2 linked regions of the Tribolium castaneum genome follow. The protein of the gene in region 2 purifies or fractionates together with the protein of the main gene of each other region. This does not show direct contact. Links are inferred from orthologs where the notes say so. Each region holds a gene or a part of one and is shown on either strand. Other genes may lie near its edges.

Evidence for each region.
Region 1: the proteins of wapl (region 2) and SMC3 purify together in Homo sapiens (affinity purification with mass spectrometry; 7 studies listed by BioGRID and IntAct, with this or other methods). This does not show direct contact. The link is inferred for Tribolium castaneum from reciprocal best matches to the Homo sapiens genes WAPL and SMC3.

The regions. Positions count from the first base shown.
Region 1 is NC_087400.1:605,657-617,123, forward strand, and holds SMC3 (structural maintenance of chromosomes protein 3), read right to left. Parts: upstream 5,950-11,467; 5' UTR 5,812-5,949; coding exon 5,797-5,811; intron 5,744-5,796; coding exon 5,629-5,743; intron 5,584-5,628; coding exon 5,444-5,583; intron 5,396-5,443; coding exon 4,943-5,395; intron 4,892-4,942; coding exon 4,416-4,891; intron 4,360-4,415; coding exon 4,150-4,359; intron 4,099-4,149; coding exon 3,693-4,098; intron 2,361-3,692; coding exon 1,497-2,360; intron 1,446-1,496; coding exon 1,230-1,445; intron 1,171-1,229; coding exon 1,034-1,170; intron 986-1,033; coding exon 406-985; 3' UTR 337-405; downstream 1-336. Other genes in the region: large ribosomal subunit protein uL30m, read left to right, coding at 1-336; Golgin104 (coiled-coil domain-containing protein 186), read left to right, coding at 7,728-7,940, 7,992-8,324, 8,375-9,352. UniProt on the Homo sapiens protein: Central component of cohesin, a complex required for chromosome cohesion during the cell cycle. The cohesin complex may form a large proteinaceous ring within which sister chromatids can be trapped.
Region 2 is NC_087397.1:5,063,827-5,074,968, reverse strand, and holds wapl (protein wings apart-like), read right to left. Parts: upstream 5,243-11,142; coding exon 5,077-5,242; intron 4,912-5,076; coding exon 3,629-4,911; intron 2,908-3,628; coding exon 2,659-2,907; intron 2,610-2,658; coding exon 2,145-2,609; intron 2,099-2,144; coding exon 1,876-2,098; intron 1,828-1,875; coding exon 1,712-1,827; intron 1,666-1,711; coding exon 1,347-1,665; intron 1,301-1,346; coding exon 1,110-1,300; intron 1,057-1,109; coding exon 919-1,056; 3' UTR 479-918; downstream 1-478. Other genes in the region: amidophosphoribosyltransferase, read right to left, coding at 1-106; alpha-2-macroglobulin receptor-associated protein, read left to right, coding at 5,736-5,936, 5,983-6,412, 6,460-6,935; uncharacterized protein LOC103315102, read right to left, coding at 7,051-8,302, 8,348-8,518, 8,571-8,614; paired mesoderm homeobox protein 2, read right to left, coding at 9,157-9,561, 9,610-9,791. UniProt on the Homo sapiens protein: Regulator of sister chromatid cohesion in mitosis which negatively regulates cohesin association with chromatin. Involved in both sister chromatid cohesion during interphase and sister-chromatid resolution during early stages of mitosis.

The sequences.
Region 1 (11,467 bases), on a different chromosome or scaffold from region 2:
TACGAGAAAAAAATCCTGGCCGAGTTTCACTTAACGGGGAAACAGAGCGACGTTGTCATTGTTAAAAATATCCCCGAAAACAACCAGAGACTATGGAAGGTTAAGCACTTGGTGCAGATTAAACCGGTCACGTTCCCGGACGGCTTCCCCTCCAGCCCCAAGGGGGCTGTCCTGAAAGAAAACGGCGAATTGCGAGTCATGAAGACCTTGGAGCCGTCAGAAGAGCGCTTACAACTGGCGGAGAGTTTCAAGACAAAGGCTGAGCGCATGGATGGGGACACCCTCCGTAGAGACTCCCGGAGGAAGTGGTTAGATGCCTGGGACACGACTTTGTAAATCCTACCATTTATTATTAATAGCTAAGTCATACAAAACTTGAGTTAAAAACAAATTTTTGAAACTTATTTAGCCATGTGTTTGGTCATCTTCGACGAAATCCCTGGCCACTTCCCTCGTCACGCACTCCACATGACTCACTTTATTCCTGAACTTAACCCCGTAAAACTTATGGGCATGTTCCAACAATTCGGGCCTGAACGTTGTAGTGATAAACTGGGCTTCGCTCGACAATTCGTGGATCATATTCGCCACAGCTTTCCTATGCTGGGCGTCTAAAGCTTGATCAATTTCGTCAAATAGGTAAAACGGAGCAGGGTCACACTTTTGGATGGCGAAGATCAGGCCTAGGGCCACTAGCGACTTTTGCCCCCCTGACAACTGGTTCATTTCCTTCATCTCGGCGTCGGATTCCGTAAACGAGACCTTAATCCCGATCCCACTGAACTGGTCCGAGTTTGTGTCTTCCGGGCCCACATCCTTGCCCTCCTCATTATCGACTGTCTTCAGCACCAGCTTAGCCTTACCGGCAGGCACCAGTTTTTTGAAAACTTCCGAAAAGTACTTCGAGACTTGCTTGAAAGTGAACTGGATGGCCTCTAATTTGCGCTGTTCCAACATTGCGATCAGTTCTTTGATTTTTTCGCCACTAAAACATGTATAATTGGAAGTTAATTCAAACACCAAGTGGGTTTACCCGCGGTCTAGTTCCTCTTTACGTTTCTGCAACTTTTCCTTCTGATCGGAGAAACTCATAAACTGGTCCAGGGCCTTTTTGTTCACGTGACTGAATTTTTTCAGCTGGTTGTTGGTTTTTTCCAATTCTTTGAAAAGCTAAAATTTTGTTATTACGTGAATAAAATAGGCTTCACTTTGACAGAATTATTTATTACCGATCGTGACGACATTTTCACATAATGGGAGTACAAATCCTGGGCTGGGAGTGCCCCCAATTGGTTGATTTTTTCCACGCATTCTTGGATTTTTTGCTCGAGGAGGTTTTGCTTCGTTGCGTATTTTTCCAAATGTTTCGCGTCCTCGTCGATCTTGTCTTGGGCGTCCTTCTCCTTTTTCTTCCAATTCTCTAACTCGCCTTGTTCCGTTTTTAACTAGAACAGAAATTTTTATTTTATTTTATTTTTTTTCAATTTTTTGCTTACCCTTTTGGCCATTTCCTTGACTTTGCTCTCCATTGAGGTCAACTCCCTGTTAACCCTCTCAATCTTCCTATCAATCTCCTCCAGGTCGCTCTTCGAGTTCACCAACTGCCGTTTCCTATCCTCAAGCGAGATCTCCTGCAAGGCATGCAACACTTCATCCCGCCTCCGAATCAAATTATTCGTCAACAAATTCTCCAATTTATTTTTCTCAGCTTCGAGCTTCATCCTCGTACTGAACGCCTCCTTATTCTCCTTTTGCAACCGTTGAATGTCATCATTCAACGTATCAACCTCGGCCTGATCAGCAAACGACAACTGCGACAACAACTCTTGATGCAGCTCACTTTCGAGGCCCTCCTGAGTTGACTGCATGGCTTCCAGACTGGACTTGCATTGGGCGAGAGAGCGTTCTTTCGGCCCTCGAAATCGTTCAATATTCGATAACTCCTCCTTCATTAGCCTCAACTCGCCCTTGACTTTATCATAAATCCCTTTTGCTTTGCTATTTTTCGTCTCGGTTTTCTGCATTTCGGAGACAATGCTGTTAATTGAAGCTTCGGTTTTGGTCAATTCCTCGCGCAATGATTTTAATTCGTTCTCACATTGCGAGATTTGTTGGATTGTTTCGCTGCGATTTTTCTGCATTTCGAGACGGGAACGATTCGAGTTGAAATAACCACCGGTTAGGGAGCCTTTGGATGAGACTTGATCACCTTCCAACGTCACACAATCAAGGCCTGTGGTCCTGGCCAGTTTTGTGGCCACATCCAGGTTACGACAAATCAATGTTTTGCCGAATAAGTAACGCATCGCTTTGTCGTATTTCGGGTCGTAGTGTAACTTCGAAACCATCGCAATGGCGTCCTGAAAATTATTAGGAAAAATATTAATTTCGATTTTTTTTTCAAACAGGTTTAGAGAAAAACGAATGAAATTCTCGGGTCCATTTTTTGAGAGAATAATTTTGGTCAAAACGGCGTCTCGCTATCGTCTTTTGTTTTCGACTTATAAACAAAAGTTGACATTTTAGCGAAATCTTAAAAAAATCGTATCTTCTTTATTATAAAAGATACACATTTGAAACAAAGACATTATACAGGCACTTTTTTACAGAGAATTTAATAATGTTTTCAGAGATTTTTTTTAATCATTCGTTTAGCAGTAATAACACAAAGTTGAATTTTGTTAAATGATAATCATAGTTGGCTATGACATTTTCGAAAAGCTTATTTTTTTCTGAACTCAAAACAATATAAATATATTTTGATATTTTTATATTTTTTTGATAAAAAATATATTCAAATATTTGAAAATAGTTGGCCATGGAAAAATTATTTCACATAAAAGGTGTGAATAATCTAGAAATTTTGTGAACGGTTATTAAAGTAAAAAATGTGAAATTATAAAAATAAGCTAAAGTTATTTTTAATTGAACAAATATACGAGCGTCGCAGATTTTAATTACATAAAAAATGTGCAGAAAATTGTAAATGATGTCTCACTACCACTTGATGCCACTTTTTTATGATTTAGTGCAATGGAGGTGACGTTGAAAATGTTGTGTATTTTTTTACCGCAGATGGAATTTGATTTTGGTGTTTGGATTGACATTTTTTTGTAAAATAAAATTTTATTGATACGCAATCATACAATTAATAAGATTTTTCTTCTTCCGACATTTCATGTTTAAAATTGGAAAATAGAATGACAACGTAAGCTTGCCATTTTAAATATAAAAACAAATAATTTTTATTAATTGCAAAAATTTGATCTAATAAAAATTTATTATGCTGTTTTTGAATTAATTAGGGTTTAAAAAATCATTAAATTATAAATATTTGTTGGGTAATACAATTTTCATAGTGTTAATTAAAAATCCAAAATTTTTTCATGGCCTACTATAAAAAAAGCGAAATATTTTGTTTTTTCTTAAATATTTAAATTTAATGTATTACACAAATAGACATATCAAATCAGAAAAAAATAAGCTTTTCGAAAATGTCACAGCCAACTATGATTCCCATTTAAAAAAATACAACTTTGTTATTACAGTTAAACGAATGGTTGAAAAAAATCGCTGATAACATTATTAAATTCTCTGAAAAAAAGTGCCTTTATAATGTCTTTATTTCAAATGTGTCTCTTTTATAATAAGAAAGATATGATTTTTTAACATGTGCCTCACCCTATACTTACCGAGTCATTTGGATAGTTGATATCTCTAACATTGAGTCGATTCAGAGGCATGAAAGTGACCTCTCCTGGCAGTTTTTGTCGATTCATTTCCTTCAAAATTTGCGTCCCAATTTTATCCGAATCGATAACATGGTGAAAAAGCCGATTTCCAGCCGTGACTTCAACCGCTGTATAAATACTTTTTTCACAATCGAAATTTTCAATAACAAGACCATAATACGATTTGACAATTTCGGCTTCGCGCCCTCCACGACTCACAAACGTGTCCAAAACTTTCCGGACACTGTCTCGTCCATTGAGGATTGGTTTACCGGCCATTGAACGCAATTGCTGGTCGGCTTTGGCTAAATCTTCCTTAAGAGAGGAGAGGTTTTGTTGGACGTTGTTTTCTTTACGCCACAATTCGCTGCAATTTTTTTATTACTAAAGGAGAAAAACTAAACGAAAAAAAAATTACTTTCTAGTAGCTTGAAACTGGTCTTTGTTTTTCTTGAGTTCGTAGCATTGTTTGTTATGTTCGTCGATACAGTTTTTCTGACGTTCCAATTCTTGCGATTGTTCTTCGATTTTTTTCGTCAGTTCGATTGTTTTAGCAGCGTCGCGTTTCAAGTCGGCCTCGAGTTTGTCACGATGCTCACGCTTATCTTTTAATTGCTTATTCAAAGATCTGAAAAAAAAAACACGTCCACTAGTTGGTTTCCTATTGTAGAAAAAAATACCTACTTCAACTCATTTTGAATCCACCTATCTCTATCATCCTTGGACGTAAACTGACTCCCTCGTCCTTGTTTAGCGTACAATTCCTTGCGTTTTTGCTCCTTTAGAGCCAAATTTCTCGTACACTCTTCTTCCCGCTTCTTCATTGCTTCATACTGGGGCTTGACCTTCTCCAATTCTGCTTCTTTTTCTTTAATAGATTGTGTTAAACGCGCCAGTTCATTCTCAGCCCTTTCCTTCGATTTATTATCTCCTTGCACTTCCTCAGACAAGTCCTTAATAGTCAAATCCAGTTTGGCCTTTTCCTTGATCAAATGTTGCTGATCATTGGTCAAAATATCACGTTCTTCCTTCAAACTCGTCAGTTCTTTTTTCGTCTCTTTTGTCTTCTTTGTGAGGGTTTTAATATTATCTTGTGCCTTCTTCAAATTCACCGCCAACTTCTCCTGCTCGTTCCCCGACTCGTTTCTTTGTTTTTCAAGCTGTAAACATCCGAAAATCACTTACAAACCTGACCAACAAAAAATAATTACATCAGCAAGCTTCCTCTTATTTTCATTCAACTCCACTTCGTGTATAATGTACTCAAGGGCCCGCCGAATTTTATCGTAGTGTTGGTATTGCTTCAGCTCCTCCTTCTCCTCCTCAAGCGTACTCAAACGTTCTTCAATCGTCCTCAAAAACTCCTCAATCTTCTCAACCTTGCCCTCCGTCTCCCTCAAAATCGCCATTGATTCGTCCCTCCTTTCGTCATAAACGCGCGTTCCTGCAACTTCACGCAACAATTTCAACCGGTGGGCGTCAGGCGCTGTCGCCATCTGATTGATTTTCCCCTGTTTGACGATATAGTACGGGTTAGAGTTGGAAAAACCGGCCGATTCTAACAAATTCATGACTTCACTCCGTGGCACCACTTTCTTATTCAAGAAATACTGGTCTTTCTTCGCCCCAATTACACGCCGCAAGTAGATCTCCTCATGCTCGAGCTACCACACAAATTAAACCCCATTTCTGTATTTTTTACCAACACTTACGGGAACACGAGCGTCCGAATTATCGAAAATAATCTCAACGTAGGCCGAGACGACTCTCGGACCCGTGCCTTCGTGCAGAAGCGCCTGGCGCTGCTCGGGCCGCAAGTGCGAAAACTCGTCACTTAGAACGAACTGGATTGCTGGAAATTTGGGGGGTTATTTGGGAAAATTCTAGTGGTAATTACCGTAGAAGAAGTTGCTTTTGCCTGAACCGTTACGCCCCACGACCACATTGTGGCGCTTGTCGAACGGCTCGACCACAGTCTGGTCTCTGTAGCTTTTGAAGCCCTGGATAATAACCTACAACCGGAGGGACGCCGAGTGAAATTTGCGACAGAAAAAACGCCCATTACCTGTTTTATGTGCATTTTGCGACCCTATCACTAGACACGCACTAGAATAAGCACTTTTTCGCAAATTATACGCAAAAATCAAAATGTAAACATTTTTAGTTTATGCCTCCATTTTGTGACAGTCATAGAATATAGTAGTTATAGAAAATCAAGTAACACGTAATTCACTGGTCGTCAAAATTTCGATAATAGCGCCATATCTTGGTAGTATGAGGAACTAAAATTGGCGGCAAATTTAAATATTTTATTATTTATACAATTAATTTAATTTTTTTATTTTTTTACAATTTAAACACACATAACCGATTTTATTGAAAATCGGTTAAATGTGTTTAATTGCAAAATTTTGTTAGTATTATAAATATAAAAATAATAAATACAATGAATGAAAATAATTTATTAATGAATTAACGTTTCACAGATTATGAAAACATCAATTATAAGAAATAAATGTCGTGTTTGGCTTCCACATATTAATTTGGCGACTTCCTCACCATCAAACACCAGTTATTTAACATTATTTTGAAACTTGGAAAAAAATTAAAGAACTAAATAAGTAAATACGGACTCTAATAAGGTACCATTGGAGTTTTAGACATGTGCCCAATTCAATTTTTACAGAAAAGTAGTGCTTTTAATAGTTTGTGCAAACATTTCTTGTATGTTTTCGTGTTGGTTGTAGACTCACATAGATGACTTTACAACAAATTTACTTATATGAACTTATTATGAGTAAGAGGTTTTTCTGATTTTAATGTAAGGACTCCACTTTGGTGGATTCACCAGTTTTGAAACTTAACGGTAAAAAGGAGGGAGTTCAAGATACGTTTTTGTGGCTTTTGTACAAATGAATGAATGAACGCGTGTATTAAATAAAAGACACTATGTGCAAGGTACAAGTCTTAAACGGTGTCCATCATAGATGTCCACTCAAAAAATGAAATTTGGTTTAAATTCTCGAAGTTATTTTTGGTGTCCACGTCGATTTGTTTCTGGATAGCTCTCACAAGTAAAGAGATGCACTGTTTCCAGAATCATGTGTACCAGCCAGCCAGAAGTTGTTTAATAAACGTTGTAGGTTGCCTTTTAAGTGTATACTAGGTCCACACCAGAGCTGGAAATATGTATTACATAGTATTTTTGGTGGCAAAAAAATCCCGACTTACCAAATTTTAGCCTTCGAAAGTTCAAAACTTAAATGTTTTTGAGATTACTTTAGGAGTACATAACACCAACAAACGAATTCAAATAAGAATAAAAAGAGAAAACCACGAACACAACACGTAGCAGAATAATTCAAATTGGAAACTGAAACCTTTAAAATTGAAACAACTTTTTGACACCGTTGAATGTAGTGTGACATTGCGCGCCAAAGGTTGCTTAATATTTTGGATTTTTGGATAAATTCGTGGATTTAATTTGAAATCACACTACCAAAAGATGGCATAAGTAGTTTCTATTAACGACCGTGCCACGTACCCCAAATTTACAGAAATCTGCATAGATAACGCACGTGGCGCCGCATGTTGATAGTATGATTTAATAAACCGTTTCTCCTATGCCGCTTGACTAACCCTGGTGACAGTTGACGATTGTGGTAACTTGATGAATTGATAATTTAGCGAATTATCGCATTTAAAAAAAACACTTTGAAGCCCAGATTATTGATTTGAGTCCTTGCAATCGTAAAACAGTGACAAAGTTGTAATTAAAGGCGTCGTAATTTAATAATTGGGGCCGCAAGGCCGGGCGTTTGGGCGTAGCTTTAGCCACAACTTGTCGACGTCAGTGGCATGTAATGTTGGTTGTCTAGTTGTGTTGGTAAATCGAAGTGTTAAATATGTTTAATTAGAATATTATTACAAATTCTATTGATCGGGAACAATTTAAACAGTTTAAAATGTGATTTTGGTCATAATTCTAAACTTACAATGAGTGATAAGTCTCCGGAGACCTCACTCATGTCAGAAGGTGGCCCCAATGTGGGCCCTCAAGGGGGTCCAAATGAAGCTAAAGACCCACCGGACGCTGTTGACATCAACGAGAATCAATCAATCGAAATCACAAACAAGGTATTAGAACAGGCTGAAGAAATCGCACAGCTGACCCAGAAATTGTCTCTCGTGGAGTCCAAACTAGACCTAGTAATTTTTCACAATTTTGGCGTTAATTGTTAGTAAAATTGGTGTTTTAAGGCAAGCAAGCAGAAAGAATTGGCCCAGAAGGAGAAGGAAGCAATGGTGATCAAGTATGCCGTTAGTGAGAAGAACTTGCTTGATATGAAGCACCAGAAGGAGCAAATCGAGAAAAAATACAAAGAGCAAGTCAACGAGAATGAAATAATCCAGCACAAGGTCCAAGTGATGGGCTCAGAGAAGTCCCGAATTTGCCAAATGCTCGATAACAAGTGTTACGAGTTCAGGGGCTGCCAACAGGAGCTGGAGCAAGCCAAGGCCGACTTGAGCGCCCTGGAGACGAAGCTCAAGTGGTCCCAAAACAGCCTCAAGACGGAGGTCCAGCTCCACAAAGTCAGTACAGTACCCGGACTTTTTAAAGTAGCTGTTTTATTTAATTACAGGAAACCCAGAGCCGTCTTGACGAAATGACAAAAAAATGCCAGGACGCCTCCGATCAGATAGAACAGGCGAAAAAAGACGCGCAAGAATCGATCAAATCGTTTCACAGCTCCCAGGACAACCGAGCTCACGTCCTTGACCAACAACTGAAGGAGCTCCAAGCTGCTCTGATCCTCCTCAAGCACGAGAAAGAAGACAAGGAGCAACAAATCAAATCCCTCCACTCCCAGCTGGAGAAGCTCCAAACGAAGCAGAAAGACATGCTGCAGGAGAACAACGCTCTCTCCCTCAAAGTGCAGCACTTGGAGCGCGATCGCCTGGAAAGCGAGCAGAAACTGAGCGATTTCAAGGCCTGTGCCGACCAGCAGCGCCAAGACTGCGCCGACTTACAAGCAAAAACGGCCCTCTTAGACCAATTAAAACTACAGTTAAAGAACGAACAAGAGCAGAATAAAGCTTGTAACGAGCAAATCAGTCTTTTAAAGCAGCGCAACGCCGAGCTCGAGGCCGATATCCTGGCTTGTAGAGAGCGCGAGGCTGAACTGTTGCTCTTCACGCAACAGTTGACCGAGAAGAATGTGCGATTACAGTCGGAGTTTACGGCGCTGGAGACCAAAGTCCAGCAGTTGAGTTGCGAGCAAACGATACTCAAGCGCTCGCTGAAGGAGCAAGAGACGAAAAATGCGGTGGTTTCGGCGCAAATGACCGCAGAAAGGGCCAAATTGAGTGCGGAAGTGGAGGGGTTGAGGGTGGAGTTGGACGAGAGTCGGGGTTTGTGCGAGAGGTTGAAGCAGGAGGTGGGGGATCATAAGGGCGAAAATAAGTTGCTGAAGCGGAAGTGCGAGTTGTCGCTGAAGGAGGTGCAGAAGGAGTTGCAACAGTGTCGGAAAAGGCTGGAACAGTACGAGGTGGAGAACCAGAGTAGTAGTAGCTCGAATTCGTCGCTTAGTGTGGGGTCGCCGGCCAACGAGCAAGTTAAGGTTGTTTGCGTTGGGAGAAATTTTTTTTGAATATTTCCGCAATCTTCTGCTTAAAATAATGTTAACTTTTTTTATTTTTTTTTTGTCATTTACGGCAAAATTATTCTAAAAAGTGGAACTATTTTGATTCATATCTATGCAAAATGATCCGGGGAATCGATTGGCATCAAGAAAATTGCCAAATTCCCAATAGTTTTTTAGTTATGAATTTTTTAAAATTTTACCAAATTTTGCATTTGTCTCCAATTTGCTCGAAAACTATTAGTCGGAGAAGAATAGTTTTTTTTTAAAACAATAGATAATTTAAAGAGCTTTCCAACGATAATACACTTCATGGGGTTATCTCTGATAGTTCGGGAGCTATTGCTCGAGAAATGTCCGGGTACCGAAAATCGACAAAATTTGCGACGAAAATTAAAAAAATCAAACATCAAAAAATTGAATATATGGACTTTTTGTGGACTAAAAACAACTTTTGTGGGTTGTTTAAGACATGTAGAAGTCCATAAAAATTTACTGGAGTGAGTTTAAAAAAAAATTTTTTTCACCTCTTTGAAGGTAAGTGTTATTACTCAGGAAATTTTAGCAAAAAAATTGAAAATTTTAAATCTCGTGAAAAGTTAGTATAATACAGAAAATGAGCCGCTGAGTTCAATGGAACAAACCGCATTGCTCTACGACTTTTAGTTTTCGAGTTATGAATTTTTTTGTTGAATAAAACTGTTCACCATAAATAATGGCTACGCTAAATTTAGGCAAAAAATTATAAATTTTTTATTCTTGTGAAAAATTGATATATTTTGTAAAATGAGCCGTAGAATTCAACCGAACAAACCTCATTGCTCTACGACTTTTAGTTTTTTTTTTATGAATTTTTTAAGTGAAAAACTTTGATCGCCTCTGTAGCGGGAACCGTTGCCCGGAGCGGCTCCGGGTTTAGACCAAAAAATAGCTAAAATTAAGCGCTATCAGATGTTTTTTGTTCGTTGCTCTAAGTCTTACAGTTTCCGAGAAAAACGCAAAAAAAGGTTTCCATTTTCACTTTTTTTCAATTTTCAACCGCCAATTACGGCCAAACTATTAAAGATATCGCGAAACGGAAAAATGGAGGATAACCGGAATAAAAAACTCTACAAAATGGCATAGGACTGAAGGCGATATCTCGCAAAAAATTTTTCAATTTTCAAACGCCGATTACGGCCAAACTAACAGAGCTAGGAGAAAACGCTTTTTTAGATCGGAAAGAGCACATCAAAATCTATAAGATAGAGTCGGTTTTATTTGATTTTGAGACATTTTAAAAATTGACCGATTTCTAAGGGGGGGTGTTAACTTTTTTTTAATTTTTTTTATTTTCTCATTTACGGCTAAACTATTATAAAAAGTGGAACTATTTTGATCCATGCCTATGCAAAATGATCCGGGGAATCGATTGGCATCAAGAAAATTGCCAAATTCTCGATAGTTTTTTAGTTATGAATTTTTTAAAATTTTACCAAATTTTGCATTTGTCTCCAATTTGCTCGAAAACTATTAGTCGGAGAACAATAATTTTTTTTGAAAAAAATAGATAATTTAAAGAGCTTTCCAACGATAATACACTTCATGGGTTTATCTCGGATAGTTCCGGAGCTATTGCTCGAGAAATGTTCCGGGTACCCAAAACCGACAAAAACTGCGACGAAAATTGAAAAAATCAAACACCAAAAAATCGAACATATGGACTTTTTGTGGACTTTTAACAACTTTTATGGGTTGTTAAGACATGGAGAAGTCCATAAAAATTTACTGGAGTGAGTTTAAAAAAAATTTTTTTTCACCTCTTTGAAGGTAAGTGTAACTTTAAGCAAAAAAATTGAAAATTTTAAATCTCATGAAAAGTTGGTATAATACAGAAAATGAGCCGCGGAATTCAATGGAGCAAACCGCATTGCTCTACGACTTTTAGTTTTCGAATTATGAATTTTTGAATGAATAAAATTTGGACTTTTTTTAAAGGAAATTTAATTTTTTACAATTTTCCTCTGGACATTTTTCTTGTATCTGTAACCGTATTCGCAGCGTTTTGAAAAATATGGGACAGAGTGCAAATTGGTAAAACTATTTTTTAAAATC
Region 2 (11,142 bases):
CAGAGTTCGTGTTGGGCCAGTCACTTGTGCCGATAGCCCCAAAAACGCCGCATTCGTGCGTCAAACCGGAAGTAAAGTCGTCCCGAGGCGCATTTTTCAATGCCATTGCTGAACTTACAAATTCAAAAACTGCACACACGTGGTTTCAGGTTACAAATAACTGTAAAACACCTGTTGCACGTTTTGAGACCCATGAATGGGCGAGGGATGGGTGCTACGTAGGCAACATAAAAATCGTAGGGGAAAATTATTTGCATATCTTCACAATTTATTTCGCAGAGGCCAAGAGAAATAAATTATTATTCTGACTCATGTTTAAATAACATACAATCATTATTGATTAGATGGGACTCTTTAGGACAGGTAGGTACAAGGTAATCCAATTTTTTATAAGAAGGTATTTTTAATTTTTTTCTACGGTGTCTGTTCATCGCCCCGTGAAGTATTGTCTGTGCAGGTTTGAAAGAAACTCAATGAATAAAACTTTAAAAAGTATCAGTATTTATTATGTACATTATATTTAAACAATCCAAATAACATTATGGTAATTTTACAAGTAATCTAGTCATGAAATAAATAAGAAAATTCATATACAGTAGTAAGTATATACACTTGAACAAAACTATAAATTCGCCACGATAAAAATATAAAACGACATACTGAACCTTACGTTAAATTTCATAGGCTTAACACTAAATAATACTAACAACAGAATAAGGTAATAAAATAAAGAATGAAATGTTTCAGTTCAGTAATCTAGGTCAACTATCAATATGACTATTTTTTTGTATTTTTTCTACTTTTGTGATTTCAGTAAACTGTAAGTACTAGAGAAATGATGGTGCATTTTCATAGTCAATCACCACTTTGAAACGTTCTTACGATTTACCAAAACTGATTCTTTACAATATTTAAATGCTAGTGTGCCATTGTGTAACTAAGATCCATACACTCCGTATAACTCGGCTTCTCTTCAGGCGGAGGACTGTCACACTCTTCCAGAAACTTGATGACTTTTTCGGTGGCTTTAATTGCGCAAACGCTTGACGCTTCCGTCTGTAAAAAAAAACAATCATAAAACCAACATTTAGCAACAAAACAACACGTACCGAAGCAGTTAAATTCATAAAATTGAAGAACTTCTTCAACAGTTCGACCATATCGGCAAAATTGTTCCCACGGAGGAACTGTCGCACGTTATTTTGGTACTCCTTGTTGTCCATTATCAGGAATCCAATCAACATAACGATGTACGAAGCCAGGAAGGTGTACTCCATATGTGTGCCGGCTTTTTGTAGCACTAGAACCACACAGTTATAAAATCGCAACAAATTATTATAACTCACATTTAGCGACAGTTTCCTCGATAAATTCCTCATTTGACTTGTACGCAACGTTACCACTGTTCTCATCTTTTTCACCGTCCAATATCGCGTTGGTCCGTTTTTCAGCGATTTTCGCACACCCTTCCCAGTGATAAAATTGCGCGATCAAAGCCTCAACGGCACTTTCTTCTCCTACAAATTCACAGTCAGCAAACACCACCGAAGTGATTTTTGACTCACTTGAATAAATACTTTCCAGCTTTGACGGGGCTTTGGCTTCAATCAACAGCTTCTTGTTGTTGTCGTTATCTTGAATAAGGTTAATCAACAACATGAGGACCTGGAATAGTTGGTTATTTGAAGTTTGGGACACAATAAATTATTACCAAAACTCCCAATTCGAATTTCTTTTGTTCGGGGATATAGTGCGGCACTTGGAGAAGCAGATGCAGGCTTGTTTCAATAATGCCGTTCCTCGAACCTATTAAGGTACTTCCCATGGCTGTAAAAACAGTGTTAATTGGGTGAAATTTTAACTGTCAGAACCTACATTGTTTACTAAAGTGGTGTGTTAAATTAATTAATACTTTCAGAGTTACGAGAAGAGCTTCCCTTATTATAGTCCCAGTCGACTCCTTATCGGTTATATCAGTCACTGGATACAGAGGTATTTCACCATCACATAGTTTATACAAATTAACGAGCGTATCTAAAATTACTCCATCATTATATTTTAACAGGTACGTTTGATTCTCTTCATTATTATGAGTGACCTACAAGTGAAAAGTTATTTTGCGCCGATTCACATAAAAATCGTACATTTTCCAGCACACGTAAACACCTATCAACTTTCCGAAGTTTATCTAACAAGGCATCAGTCCACGAAACCACATAATCAGACACCTGTCTACAGCACTCGCATATCGTCTTCATAATATGCTCCAAGCCGCCCAACTCCCGCAGCTCCTCCTTGAACCACTCGCCTGCCCTTTTCGACGTGAGACTCAAAAGCGTCTCCATTGCCAATTGACCCACAGTTATATTATCGAGATTCAGATGCATGGCATGCCCTTGACTTTGTATCTCGGCACACAGCTCCCTAACTTTCTGTTTATTTTTCTCCAACTGGGCCGAGCTCAAGCCGCAGACGTCGAGCGCTTGCTGGTAGCTTACGTCCGATTCGAGAAGGTTTAACATGAGTTCGAGGCAATCGCGGTCTAGGTCCATGTTGAGCCGGTCCTGGCTCAGGACGAACATGACAGTCGCTGTACATAGACCAAGACTCTAAAACACGATTTGAGTAATTTGGAAATTTCAATTGGTGAAATAATACTTGGTCTTTGGTGGCGTCATGTAGTGCCTTGAAAAATTTAGCTACGGTTCCGTGAGCACGCACGTGCATCCGGAACGCAGGCACCATACATTTAGAAGCTAGAGTAATGGCCGATAAACAGCGAGTACTGATTGGATTATTATCCTGCAAGGCATCAAGGATGTACTCCACGTCGTCGTTGAATTCTTGAAATTCGCCGATTTCCTGGATCTGGTGGGCTTTCTTCACGTTGCGGACGACTGTGTAAAACTGAGAAAACATACAAATTAATCAGATAAACCAAACAGTAACAGTCCACAAAGCGAAATAACAAGAACGTTTATTTTTTTAGCAAATAACTTTTTATTGACAAATGCGTAATACCATCCAAATGAAGCTTTTTTAATGTTTTCTTTACAAAAAATGCGTCTCTCACTTTTGTTTATATTAACTAAAACCTGTTCTTATTTAATTACACTGGTTTACAAAATATTTCAAGTATATATGATTCGGTTGTAAAAAGAATTATTAATTACTTATGGTACTATGTAATATTCAATATTTAAATTAAAAAATTAGCAGAACGTCTGTACTCCAAGTATAGATAACTGTGAATTGTTTATCTTCTTCTTATTTTTTTTGATGCTTCAATTTATTTGATTCAATTACTTATTATTTTATTCAAAAAAATTCAGGAATACACAATTAATTCATGCTGTATTATGTTAATAACTAGTTTAAAAGTACAGTTTATGATTATATTACAGAAAAAAACTTTTAAAAAATTCATCAGTTCATCACCAAATTGAGGCCATTTAAATTATATTAAATTATGTAGTGTTCTATGGGCATAATAAAAAAAATAAATATATTTTATTTGTTAAATTTCGTATAAATATTATTTTAATTTTAATATAATGTTCAAAAATAATTTTTTGTAAACATGAGTTACTTTTTAATGCTTGTATTTTTTTGTCTTCATACAACTCACCCCTTTGTCACTCTTGGTGCACTTGATACTGGTCACACTCTCGTCCTCGCCGTCGCTGTTGCCCCCAACCGTGACCCTCGTCAAAGGATCATCATTAAAACTGAACTCGTCATACACTGAACCACCCGTATTATTGCTACTAGGATTTTCGTTCGATTTTTGCGTGGCGTCTTTATCATCACTCCACTTGTGTCTGTACAACGCGCGCCGTTTTTTCGTCACGTCCGTAACTAAAGGTCTACTTTTAAAAATACTTCCTTTCTTCTTTGAGATAACTAATTTAACGGGAGGGCTAGTTTCGGGGGCGCCTTCTTCCGCACTTTTCTCCTTCTGCTCTTCCACCGGCAGTGGGAGCGGTTCCGAATCCTCGGTTAGCTGCGTTTTGATTTCTGAGTCTGGGGTGGTGCTGTTGCTGTCCTCGTCGGTGTCCCATTCCTCTTCTATTGAACCCTTGGTCACTGGTTCTTCCCCCGATTTGGTTTCTTCAACCGGTTGGCTTTTTTCTTCGATGGTTTCACTCGGTTTAGTTTCGATTTGTTCGGTTTTGTCGGTTTCTTCCGGCTCTTTTTCGGCACTAATTTCGCTATCTACGTAATCAATTCCTGAATCTTCGGTGCTGTTCTTCTCTTCGGGGAACAGCTGCGAAGGCGAGTTTGGTTTAAGCAAGTTATCGTACATGGCTTTCCGCTCCATTTCGTATCTTTCAGCTGGGATGTATTGCGGGGACAGGTCTATGTCCTGTTTGGGCGAAGTGAAGAGGGAGAATTCGGTCGGAGTGTCGGCCGTTGCCGGACTGCTGCTGGGGTCCTGTTGCATGCTTCTTCTCGCTGACCTGGTGATGCGACAATTTGGTGATCTTTGTGCTGTGTCCCTGAGAGCCCTTGGAGAGGTGGCGTTTGAAGTCGATGGGGTGCTGGATGGTGTGGGCGTGCTTTCAGATTCGTCCGAATCGTTCACTAACTGGGATTTTCCTTTACATATCCTTAAAACTATTGGAGGTTTTGTTTCGTTTCGTTTAGAATTATTTACATTTGAACTTAGTACAGTCTTTTCAGGCGAGTTGCTCTTTGACGAAAAAAATTTACGACCAACACTTTTGGATTTCTCCGTCGGTTCGTTTACTAATTTCAGCTTCTTTGTTACGTTGCCGTATGTCATGTCGGCCTTGTAGGACGAAGACAGGTCAGGGGGTTCCGTGTTGCGACTCTTGAAGAACTTCTTCGGCTTCGGCACGGACTCTCCTTCAGATGAGGCGTTTTTTTCGTTTTCTGAACGAGACAAACCTGGATTATAACAACTACAGTGAATGGGGGCTTTGAGAGCTTAAACTACTGGCTCTTAAAAAAACCTAACTAAATCAACTCAATTCCATAAGTATTAATGACCACAAAAACAGAACTGTTGCGAAATTATAGTTGTATGTCGAAAATTGTCGAGGGGCAACTTACCATTGCTGGTACGTATGGAAGTGAAGGAGGTGATGCCCCACTTGCCCACAGTGGCTGCAGACCTTGCGGCAGATGGTTTGTTAGCATTTTCCTTAAATAAATTGTCGAAATGGAAACTTGCATGTGAACTTCCTCCACGGCGATACTTCCCATACCCTCTTGACATTTTTAAAAGTTGAACTCAAAAGTACCCCTCACTCAAACATTTCGGATTAAAACTTGAGCCCTGGCAAAATTCCTGGCAATACAAACGCGTCCCCAACGTCCTATCTAGTAATACTATCGAGTTCCATGATGTTATTTTGGCGATTTATCTGTACATTTTGGTGTATTTTGTTAAAATTGGTTCAACTTCGCCATTTTCATCAAATGATGAAGGTCCATTGATATTTATTAAGTGGGCTTGCAGGCATTGGTAAGGTGTCACAGATACCACATTATTTGTATGAGGGTTTCCACTTTTGGGAAAATGCGGGAAATAATTAGGTTTTTCTTGTCAATAGAATTTTCACGTTATAAACACGCCAGTAAATAACGGCTACGAAATCTACGTAAGGTTGCACAGTTGGCTGTTGCAACGACGCTCATCTGTCAAATTTATACAACCGCTTGCAACTGTCAAAAATTTTCGTCCAACTTTTCAAAAATAACCCAAAAAGATGTGTCCTATCGATAAGTTGATAATTGGTGTGTTAATTGTTAGTTTTTCGTCGATTTCTCATTGTCACAATAAATATTCGGCCGAAGCGAATGTGAAAAAATCGAACGATGATGTGGATTTTCGGCCGGTGTCGCTGAAGCACCTGGATAAGCCTTTCAGGATGGCTAAATTAAATCTCTTATGGTCCAAGGCTGTGGTGGTACGTATTTACAACCAGTAGCTGCTTTAATTAAATTAATATTTAGAGGCTCTCTGAACCTAAACTAAAATCCCTGTTTGGCGAATTGAAATTGCACGATAAAGAGGAAATCACTTGGAAGCATTTGAAAGCAGAGGGGAAGGACAAAGACGGGTTAAAAGAGGCCGAGTTGAGGAAGAAATTGCTGACAATAATGGGGTCCTATAATTTACTGGACCAAGCCGATGACGTGCAAGACCCGTCTAAATATAGAGCTCATAAACCTCTGAATGAGGCCTCCGACAAATACATAAACAAGAGTTTATTTAAAGATAAAAAGTTGAACAAACTGTGGGAAAAAGCCGAGACTGCTGGTTTTACGGCCGAGGAGTTGGCGGCTTTAAAAGAGGAATTTACCCACCACCAGGATAAAGTTGACCAATATTACGCTTTGTTGCATGATGTCAAAGGCAAGGAACAAGACGATAACACTGCCAGTATGTTCCTTCAATCGTTGTGCCACAAATTAATTTTTTAATTCTAGATTCGGTAGATGATGGTTTAGACAAATTCAACACCATTGAAAGTCTGGAAGAGCCACAGGCAAACAAGGATTATCTGGACAAAGTGAACCTCCTCAGGGAGCAGCACAAGGATATCCGGGACGGCTACGACCGCTTGCATTTGCTGGCGGCAAAGGGGCCCAACAGTAAAGAATTTGTGGAACCCAAAGTTCAAGGTTTATGGAAAATCGCAATTGAAAGTAACTTTAAACCTGACGAGTTGGAGTCGTTACGAGTGGAGCTCCTGCACTATGAAAATAGGTTACTTAAATTGAGGCATCTTCAGGCTGAAGCTGCCTTGAAAGAAGATCTGCACAAGAAAAAAATGGAAATGGCAGGGGGTAAAACAAACGGAATGCAGATGATGGAAGACACGATTAAAAAGCATGCAAGGAAGGTCGAGAAAATTCACTTGGATCTGGAAACTAGGATAATGCAGAGGCATATTGAATTGTGATTATCTAATTAGTGTTGTAAATAACAAAAATGCATTTGAATTGTTTATTTTGTAGTATTTTTTAACGAATATAATACGTATCACAAATAATTGGAAATGATTATTTTCCCTCAGTCTAACTTTCATACTCTTGTTGGAAATTTTGAATTATTTGTAGTGTCGTGGTTTTGATGTTTTGGGCAACAATTTTGCCGATTTCGGTTTGCTGATCTTCGCTGCAACTTGACATAATATTTGCGTACATATTATTCATCGCATCCTTGAGTGACGCAATAAATTTCGCATTTTTTTCCTCACAAATTTCTGGTCTTGCTTCCTTATTCTCATAACCTTGCAATTTTGTGTTCAAATCAGAAATGGTATTTTCGAGGCGTGAAATTTCAACTTTCTGAGCTAATTCTGACTGCTTGCAAGCCTCAATTTCTTCTATTTGTTTCTCCACGGTTTTAGAAAGGGCAGCGATTTCGTCCTTGTGTGCACAAATTTCTTTTTCCAATTTCTCTCGTTTGACGGTTTCTTGTTCCTCCAAAAGCCTCAATTCCAGTTTATTCTCTTCCTCACTCTTCAAATTACTTTCGTGTTCCTTCAATTGTAATTTGAGTTTTGCGTTTTCTTCCTGACTTGATCCCAATTCCCTCAACAAGTTTTCATTACGCAACTCCAACACTTTGAGTCTACTTTTCAAGCTATTTGAGTTGTCACTGGGCTTATCTGAGTCAACCAAACTAATAATCTGATTTAATTTGTCCGAAATTTGCGATAAATTTAACCTGACTTCACTATTTTGTGCACGGTTTTCAGCAAACAACAAATTTAAAGGGTCGTAAACCATCGGTTGACTCATAACAAAATTATTTGGAACGTTTTGAATTTGATGTGAAGTCTTGATAACAGCTGATGTTGAGCTGACTTGGTGGGTGGATACTGTACTGTCTGCACTTTCAACAGAATCATTATCTGTATCTAAGTCTTTATTCGGTAAAATAGACTGCCCCATTTTGGCAATTCTTGACAATATATCAGCCTTAGCTTTATTTTCCGGCGTTACAACTTCATCAGTTTTTTCAGTTTTGAGGTCTTGTTTTTCAACTACACGATTTACAACACACCCGAACTTTTCAATAACGTTCATAACAGCCATACGGTCATCATTATTGTTAAATTTGATCAACCAGTTCTCTTGAATATTGTCGTAAAACGAAGCAAAATCGTCCTTCTTTAAGTTCACTTCAAAACTAGACGATACTTTAGCCCTCATTATCACATTACGCTTTTCTTTATACAAAATAATTTCATAGGAATTTTGAACTGTTGATCCAATAACAGCAAGGCCATATTTGCCCAACGCTTGGTATTTACCCTCAACTCTAAAACTGTTCTATTAACTGAATCATAATTTTATGAAAACTTACAATTTCCAAACTTGGACGACTTTTGCACAAACAACACTGCTTTCTGCCTTTGGGGCCTCGTTTTTTACTTCGGAACTACCTCCAGCCTTTGGTTGTTTGGGGGCAGTGTATATGAGGCTAGCGGTTTCGGAATGTGGTGAATTATTGCCAAATAATGAAGCCAAATTTGAACTAAAGACAATTGTAAAAAACACCGATCACACAACGTGTTTTTTTATTTTACCTAGACGAAGGGGTAAAGTCGTAGTCGTCTAAGTTATCATCCATTTTTAACACATTTTATACATAGATTAAATTAAAAAAACCTGAACAATTACGAAATAAAAATAAAGGGTTAGTCTTAACCTGACTTTTTTAATTGTCAAACAATTTGACATTTTATTGTATGTCACACCCAGCACAAACGCGTATTGTGAGTTGACTATATTAGGAGTAATGTTTGTCAGAGTATTTTCCCGCCAAAAAAATATTTCCGAAAAAAATTATAAGTTTGAGAAATTATAAACTTTTTATTGCGCCGTTTTTTTACACTTATTACAAATATTTCGTGTTCTTTAATATAATATTTTTGTTAAAATTAAACACTGCCCCGTTTAATATTTATCTTGTTTAGTTTAATTAATTAATTAGTCAAATGATTCCAGAAAGTTTTTGTAAAAAGTATCTATATGTAAGTAAGTATCTCACTAAGGTCACTGAAAAAAGAATAAAAAATACAACAGTCATTGTCAAATTCTTTAATTGGTAATAAACAACTATTTTCTAAATCAGTGGTAAATTTACAAGTTAATTATCCTCAAATTGCACTTCTACGGCGACAGCGTAAAGTCTTGATGCCTGTACCTCAGCGAGTTTACGTCGAATCGGTTGCACATCGAGCCCGCTGAAATATTGGGTGAACAATAATTGAAAGGGTTTGTTGGGAGAAAAGGGCACGTTTGGCCCCCCATCGGCGAATTAAAATTATTGCCGTATAAGTCGGGCTGTCCATATTGTCCGTGAGAACACTTCCAAGGCATCACATATTGCAGATCGGAGGCAGCATGCGGAGGAATTACGTTTTGATGCGAAAATAAAGGTTTTTCCACTGAGTCAGTCCGAGGAGCCAGCGGTGTCATAGGCTTGTTGCAAGATAATTTGGTCGCTGGGGTCTGCTGCAGACTTAAACTTCTCTCATTTCTGCGAAATTTAGCTCGTCGGTTCTGGAACCAAACCTAAAAAAATAGTCAGCAAAAATTAATCGCATTTTTTTCGACAATTACTTGAACTCTGGCTTCGCTCAAGTTGACTTTTGCCGCCAAATCCTCTCGGACGAAGGCGTCCGGATAGTGCGTTTTTTCAAAAACTTTCTCCAAAGCTGCAAGCTGGACGGTGGTGAACGTGGTTCTGTTGCGTCTCGGTTTTTTCGTTTTTTCGTCGCTTCGCGAGTTTTCGGATGCGGATTCTGGAAGAAGGCTAAGAGTCAAGTCCAAAAAGTGCGAATAGTAATTAAAAATAGACGCGTTTTCAAGGTCTACGTAAGAACGGATGTTTGCATTTGCCAATCGCGATGAAATCGCAAAGCTCGGGACATGTGTGCATGCAGTGCGTTTAAGCAGAATCATTTTAAAAGCAATGCATCATGTAATTAGAAATGATAAACGTGGACCGGTGCGTCCGACCGGAATATCTCAAACGCTTGGATCAAAGGACAGATCAAAGACGTCTCTGTCTATCTCAATGAGCTGCTTGTTGCAACGTAATCTGATATTTCAGACTGTTTCAGTCGCAACATCTGAAAATTCCGAATTCGAAACTGATGCATCGATTATAGAAACGATAATATTGACGATTATGCAGTTGCGGGAACCGCAAAGCTTTATTAAAAATAAACTTTCTTGGAACCATCAACTCATTAAGCCATCAAATGTGATTTATTTTACTATGTGAGACACATTTAACATGTAAATTAAATGCAGATAAAATAACAGTTGAGATTTGTTTTTAGAGGAGACCGTAATTTACTTGGAAAAGTGACTTTATTATCGTGTTCACCTAGTAGTGAGTCAAAATTATGGGCGAGTGCAGTTGCTACTGTTGGCACTAAATGGGCAAAATATATGGGCAACAGACGAATGCACAGACAATGGCACGTAAGCTGCTTTAATACACTGTATAAAGTGTAATTAGTGTCTTTAATTTACATTTCATCGGGAACAACTGCAGAAAGCGGCGTTATAAATACGAGAAATGAATATCAAAAGGTCTATGTGTGTATAAAATTTAATTGTTTAAATATGTAAATGTGAGAAGAAGACAACAAACCAAGAACGATGTTCATCAAGTTTTCATACATTTTAGACTTGCAAACCTAGCTTTGACTTATTTAAACTTTCATTAATTGAATTTTGCATTTTTTATTGAATTGTAAAAATCATCTAGAGTGTCATTTGGGAAATAAAAGTGGATTATGAAAACTAAATGTAAAATTAGTACTATTAGTAGAGAGAACAAAATCATTAAAAACGCATGAATTAAAAGAGGTTCAGCTTGAAAAGTTTTAATTGATTTTACTGCGTGTATTATAGTTTTGTAACTAATTAGTTTTAATTAATTATTTGTTACAACAGAACATTAGGTAGATGGAAAGATATAGTATTTTTACTTCCCCAATTTAAACAAAAGAATAAAAAAATCAATTAGAACATAAGAAATTAACCACCTCATTATTTCTTTTTGAAAAATTAAATATCAGAAAGCGCTTCAGGTTATTGGTGAATTTCCACCTAGAAAAGTACATAACTTTATAAAAATAT